2 linked regions of the Kluyveromyces lactis genome follow. The protein of the gene in region 1 interacts with the protein of each later gene in a pairwise test. Links are inferred from orthologs where the notes say so. Each region holds a gene or a part of one and is shown on either strand. Other genes may lie near its edges. The genes, in order: RLI1 and HCR1.

Evidence for each region.
Region 2: the proteins of RLI1 (region 1) and HCR1 interact in binary tests that used the Saccharomyces cerevisiae proteins (3 or more experiments, as listed by UniProt). The link is inferred for Kluyveromyces lactis from reciprocal best matches to the Saccharomyces cerevisiae genes RLI1 and HCR1.

What each region holds. Positions count from the first base shown.
Region 1 is NC_006039.1:1,543,856-1,547,847, reverse strand, and holds RLI1 (Fe-S cluster-binding ribosome biosynthesis protein), read left to right. Parts: upstream 1-1,620; coding exon 1,621-3,444; downstream 3,445-3,992. Other genes in the region: mannose-ethanolamine phosphotransferase GPI13, read right to left, coding at 3,864-3,992. UniProt on the Saccharomyces cerevisiae protein: Component of the multifactor complex (MFC) involved in translation initiation. Required for the binding of MFC to the 40S ribosome. Required for the processing and nuclear export of the 60S and 40S ribosomal subunits.
Region 2 is NC_006041.1:1,750,084-1,753,138, reverse strand, and holds HCR1 (translation initiation factor eIF3 core subunit j), read right to left. Parts: upstream 1,669-3,055; coding exon 835-1,668; downstream 1-834. Other genes in the region: DLD1 (D-lactate dehydrogenase), read right to left, coding at 1-272; PAR32 (Par32p), read left to right, coding at 2,362-2,829. UniProt on the Saccharomyces cerevisiae protein: Component of the eukaryotic translation initiation factor 3 (eIF-3) complex, which is involved in protein synthesis of a specialized repertoire of mRNAs and, together with other initiation factors, stimulates binding of mRNA and methionyl-tRNAi to the 40S ribosome.

The sequences.
Region 1 (3,992 bases):
TAATACAAAACACAACTTTAACACTCTGTGACAATAGATTCGTTCACCTCCACTGCTTTAGAATACCTATCGAATCCTTAAATGCAGATATTCTCACGTTTAAATCGTGTGCTCTGTTGAATGGGTCTTTTCTTTACAGGTTTAGATTGGAAAAAGAGTTCAAAACAAGTTTTGACTACGGGAAAGATACAGACGATATAGGACTAAAAAAATTTTATAAAACTAGGGTGAGAAAGAGGGTAACTAGGAAGTAATGTATCACATTACCGTTGACAGGTGACAACCAAGACGGGGATTACATTACTATCCATCTCAATCGATGGGGCAAGGTAGCAAGAAGTAGAAGATGATCGGCACATATGTCAGTGGAGACAGACTTGGCAAACGCTGAATAAACACGTACATGGCGTGTCTACTCGGTTTGTTCAGACCGAAGGAAAGAATAAGGTTGGATAATGAACGGTCAAACGGTGGTCAATTGAGGAGGTTTCCAGTTGATAAAACAGCAGTTTCAATTTCAACAGAAAAAAATACAGTACAGTATGAATTCCGTGAATATTTCAAATGCTGGCGATTTCAAAAAGTCGACAATAGAGAGCATATCCCGTACTAATCGAGTACGGGCCCCTTTCATCGTATCAGTAACCAAACGTTTACACACTTGGTGAGCAATTCCATATGAATGATGCACCTCAAAAAGGGAGGAACAAACTCAAGCACTTATATCGCGTTGCCCATTGAAAAATGGGCAACGCGAGCCCACACCGGAGAGACACCCCTGAATCAACCACAATGACATAACTCCAGGGAAATTCCCACCATAGTGGCACTTTCCCGCCCAAATCTACCCTTGCTTCTTCGACATGATTTAACCGCCCAAGTTCCGGAAAAATGATTCCCCGAAAAGTGATATCCAAAGAAGAGAAAACAAGATCTCAAGCCGGCTTTCTTTATATATTCATATCACATCACTCTAAACGATAATTAACTAATCCTTTCATCACCAAAAAAAATTTTTTTTTTTTTTTTCACTGAAAAATTTCACAAAGCTCATCTCATCGAGAAAACGAGAATGGAACAATAACAATTTCCAAGCTTTATCTGTATGAAAACAATGGTAAAGGTTTTAAAATATAAAGTTATTTCACTTGTTTTAGTTTGCTTTAATTCAGTTGTACTTATAATTTGATTACTTGTATCTCAATAAGTAATAGGTTCTGATTCTTTAGTAGTGGTATTCGTTTTTTTAAAGAGTTTTTTTTTGTTTTAGAAGCACAGACTAGAGAATACGGTTTCAAGGCTGGTGAGAAGAGTTTGATATAAGACTACTCTTAAAACTATTTATTTCGGATACAGAAGGATATTATTAATCTGATTTTAATCCATCCTAATTTATATTTTAATCTGTCCTAATCTATCCTAGGTCAATTGCAAAGCAAGGAATCAGGAAGGTTTATAAACTACAGCGTCTCCCACTAGCAAGGGCATAAACAATATACATTTACGGAATCTTTACGCTCCAACTCCCAACATTTTTATTGATAGAGAACGGATACTGGGAAGTACCTGAATTTTAATTCAATCATAGAAACACAAAACAAACTCATAGTACCAAAAAAAATGTCATCGAAAAATACTCGTATCGCTATTGTCAGCGAGGATAAGTGTAAGCCAAAGAAATGTCGTCAGGAATGTAAGAGATCTTGTCCCGTGGTTAAGACTGGTAAGTTATGTATAGAAGTGATGCCTACTTCCAAGATTGCGTTTATCTCTGAAAATTTGTGTATCGGTTGTGGTATTTGTGTTAAAAAGTGTCCATTTGATGCTATTCAAATCATCAATTTGCCAACGAATTTAGATTCTCAAGTGACACATCGTTATTCGGCAAACTCTTTCAAGTTGCATCGTTTGCCCACTCCAAGACCGGGTCAGGTTTTGGGTCTTGTCGGTACCAACGGTATTGGTAAGTCTACTGCATTGAAGATCTTGGCAGGTAAGCAAAAGCCTAACCTTGGTCGTTTCGAAGATCCTCCAGAATGGCAAGAGATCATTAAATATTTCCGTGGTTCTGAATTGCAGAACTATTTCACTAAGATGTTGGAAGATGATATCAAAGCTATCATCAAGCCACAATATGTGGATAACATTCCTCGTGCCATTAAGGGCCCCGTCCAAAAAGTTGGCGAGTTGTTGAAATTGAGATTGGAGAAATCAAAAGATGATGCTAAGAGGTATATCGATATCTTACAGTTAAAGAATGTTTTGAACAGAGAAGTCTCTGCCCTTTCAGGTGGTGAATTGCAAAGATTTGCTATCGGTATGTCTTGTGTTCAGGAAGCAGATGTTTATATGTTCGATGAACCTTCTTCTTATTTGGATGTTAAGCAACGTTTGAACGCTGCTTTAATTATCAGATCTCTATTGAATCCAACCACATACGTTATCTGTGTGGAGCACGATTTATCGGTGCTAGATTATTTGTCGGATTTTGTTTGTATTATTTATGGTGTGCCTTCTGTTTATGGTGTTGTTACTTTACCATCTTCTGTCCGTGAAGGTATTAATATATTCTTAGATGGTCACATTCCGTCTGAAAATTTGCGTTTCAGAACTGAAGCGCTACAATTCCGTATGGCTGATGCTGGTGATGAATTGGAAGCCGATGCAAGCCGTGCATTCACTTACCCAGATATGAAACGTACACAAGGTGATTTCTCTCTAACCGTTGAAGCAGGTGAATTCTCCGATTCTCAAATCTTGGTTATGATGGGTGAAAACGGTACTGGTAAGACAACATTAATTAAACTTCTTGCAGGTGCTATTCCTGCTGATGATGGTCAAGATATTCCTAAGTTGAACGTTTCAATGAAGCCCCAGAAGATTGCTCCAAAGTTCACTGGTACTGTGCGTCAATTGTTCTTTAAGAGAATTAGAGCACAATTCTTGAACCCACAGTTCCAAACTGATGTCGTTAAGCCTTTGAAAATCGATGATATCATTGATCAAGAAGTTCAGCATTTGTCTGGTGGTGAATTACAGAGAGTGGCTATTGTGCTTTCTTTGGGTATGAATGCTGACATTTACTTGATTGATGAACCATCTGCCTACTTAGATTCTGAACAACGTATCATTTGTTCTAAAGTTATCAGACGTTTCATCTTGCATAATAAGAAAACTGCATTCATCGTCGAGCACGATTTTATCATGGCTACATATTTGGCCGATAAAGTCATCGTGTTCGATGGTATCCCATCTAAGCAAGCTTTCGCTAGAGCTCCAGAAAGTTTGTTGACTGGTTGTAACAAATTCTTAAAGAACTTGAACGTTACCTTCAGAAGAGATCCAACCTCTTTCAGACCAAGAATCAATAAATTAGACTCCCAAATGGATAAAGAACAAAAGTCATCTGGTAACTATTTCTTCTTAGACCACAATGGTGTTTAATCGCCTTACTAATGGCGATCGGGTATCCATTCTAATGTGTCTTTTTTGCTTATTTTTTTGTCATTATTCATCATTCATCCTATCTAATTCTCATCATTTCTTATCTGTTGGCTGGTTTTTAAGGTTATATTACAAATCATGAATCAATTCCAATTGATTGGAACGGCATAGTCCTCGGCAATACCATTTTTGTGCATAAATGTTACTGTACAATAATTAATACATCTGTATAATATCTATAAATTATTTATTCTCCCAATTATCAACCAAAAATTTCGCGAGATATTGAATGCAAATCAAATAAAACAGGCCTCTTCAAAACGACACATACGAATCGTCCGTGTCCATCTCGCATAAATAAATAAATAAATTTATTTATACATTAAGAGAGTTCCTACTATATTGGTTTCGAGTAAGGTTTATTTTGAAAACAATTGACTTATCTGCCTGATTAGTCTAGAACTTGCAAAACCAATAGTAATAAATGTTACAACGAGTTGACTTACTATCAAACATAATGATGCAAATAGGAATCGAGGACAGAATAT
Region 2 (3,055 bases), on another chromosome or scaffold:
GAATCAAGGTCTTCCAATCTAGCAATGGACAAATCACTCACGGACTTTTCCTTCTCGAACTGAGAGCCTAGAGCATATGCAACAAACCCACCACCAATTAAAGAACCACCAAGAACGCTTAAAATGGCGGACGAAAATCCACCGCCGTTATTACCGTTAGAAGACGAATAATGTCTTTTTGCAACGGCAGTGGTCCTAGAACGCAGAACGTCCTTACGTAGTTGCAGCGAACCACGCAAAGCAAAACCGGATCTTCCAACAAACCTGAACATTGAGTTGCGTTTCTGGTCTTTCTTGCACTTTGCGATAACAAGTACACAAAACAGCTGCTAAGTTACCAAGTTTCTCTACCAAGTTGTTACCTTATTATATAGTATATTGATATGCGGAATACAGACGGCGTTCGATTATACATATATATATATATATATATATAAGTACAAGTTCATAGCTGAGAAAAAAAAAAACAGTTCAAACGCGGAATAGGAACAATCATATACCGTCGACTCCACGACTTGGTTCATCCACCCTTGTTTTGATACATATCCGGCTTGCTCTCCTCTGGTCTTCTCTGGCTTTTCTTTGTTGCCGGATTTCCATGATGATTTTTCACTTCGTAGCGTGGGATGTAGCGTGGATCGGATCTTGTTGTACTGGTTTGAGGCAGCACTGGGCCAGTGGAGAGTCAAGAGCGCTCTCAGATTCGGTAGATGAGAGAGAGAAAGAGCGACCGGGCTAGCGAACAAGACTTGGGCAATATTAACAGTTCAATTGTTTACGTTCTATATATGATATGTGATGATGATATGTGATGAGATCTGTTTTTTTTTTCTATTACATGAAATCGTCTTCTCCGAAATCGTCAAAGTTATCGTTACCACCTAGGTCGAAATCGTTATCCTTCTTGAAGGCACCGCCGAGGTTAGCCCTAGTAGCCTTGGCCTTCTTCTTACCGGCACCGCCTGTGGCGGTGCCTCCCTTGACTTTGGCCAAACGAGCTTGTCTTTCTTCTCTTTCTTTATCCTTCATCAATACGTTCAATGTCGCAATGGTTTGTCTGATGTTTTCGACGGTCATTGGTTTGGAAATGTCTCTGATCAAGTCGATGGCTAGTCCACCAGAGTAGTTCAACAAGGATTTGTTGCTTGTCGAGGTGATTGCGGTAGCCAACGCTTTCCTTAATTCTTGGTAATCTTTTTTGGTTTCCAAATCCGAGAACAATGGGTGCGATTGGATTGGGGTATCCTTGGTCAACGCAGCAGGTTGGGCGACAGCTGCAAGCTGTTCTCTTTCACGTTCGGCGCGGGCTCTTGGATGTTCTTCTGCGACGCCAAGACCGCCGAAAAGGTCTGCAGCGTTGTTCAAATCAGATTCCAGTTCAGCCTTTCTCAATAGTTCTTTACGGGTCTTGTCGTCAAGAGTATCGATATCGAGCATGGTGTTCTTTGTAGCAGCTGGTGTAGCAGCTGGTGATGGAGAGGCTTTCTTTGGAGCCTTGGCTGCAGCTGCTGCTGCTGCCTTAGGCTTAGGTTTAGCAGTCTCCTCGTCCTCCCAGGACTCTAGTACCGGCTCATCGTCGTTTTCAGCGAACTCATCATCCCATGAATTCAACACTGGCTTCTCTTTGGAGCCACTTGGCACTGCAAAATCTTCGTCGTCCCAGGACATTGTTGATTGATAATTGATCTCGGTTAGGGTAGAGCTGCTGAAAGCAAGTGTTTATTGATTGTCCTCGTTACAAATTCTTGTCAAGATGCTTATGGGTGGCATTAAATTTCGATTTTTGGGTCTTTTGGGAGCTGTTACCCGGGGCAGTGGTCTTCCTTCCTCCGTCCCTCCCTTCTGCCGCAAAGACTGCTACGTCAAACCATCATATTGCATGTAGAACGAAAATACCCTGCTATAGACCACGATTTTTTGTCTATCCAGAGTTCCACTGGCACCATATAACATGTTAATGATCACTTCCCTTTTAATGGTACCCAATTGACGTATTCATATCCTGTTCTGCCCATTATGACGCTCCAAAATTAATTTATTTTTGATACCTATTTCTCAAAATTAAATAGTTACTTTTTCTGGCGTCACTCATGCACCAGGCTCCTCATCATCCCATACGACCTTCGGTCCCTTATCATCGATTCCTTGACCAACACACAATTAATGATCAACTCTCGATCCGAACCTTTTTTATATATACATGTCAGTATTGAAAACATAAAATGTGCATCCATTTAATAGTTGTTGGTCCAATCTAACCATTGTGATATAGGCTCGTGACAAGTGGACCTAATCTGGAATAGTTGTTTGGCAACGCAATAATAAAGAAAGTATCTTTGGGAGATTATTCAATATATCGGCATGGGTGAATATAGAGTAAGTACTGGAAGAGGAGGCGCAGGAAACATGATAACGTCGAACGAGAAACCTTCACCGAAGGTTGTGACACAGGGTTCCCAGACCCCCAATATACTATCGCCAATTTACTCTACGGGTCGCGGTGGTGCTGGTAATATGAGGAGGAATGTGGACCCGGTTATGACACGCACCGCACAGGATGTTGACGATGACGACGTGATAGACGTGACTTCTTCAAACAATACAGGAACCATCAAAAAGATCAAGTCGAGACGCTTCTCGGAACCTCCAAAGACCATATCGATCGGTAGAGGTGGTGCTGGGAACATACTAAGCCCTAAATCGTCAAGAAAGAAAAGGGATGAGAAGGGCTCTAAGAATTCCTCCACTGGAGACAACGGATCGAGTCACGTGGACGAAAAATCATCAAAGAGTGGGTTCTTCTCCAAATTGAAGAGTCTTTTCAAGTGAATCGCCACCGATCAGCTCTTCTCCTTCCTATCTTTTCATCCCTCACACTTGCATAATGAGACTATATAGTCCTCCTTCTTCTTCCCTTCTCCTTTTTTATTAACGTAACGAAATGAACTTTAAAAAGTAATCAAAAGATACTTCTTCTGTCTTCATGAACATTGGGACACAGACCCTGACAACTTGAAACAGATGTAATTGTACATATAATACTGCATAGCCTTTC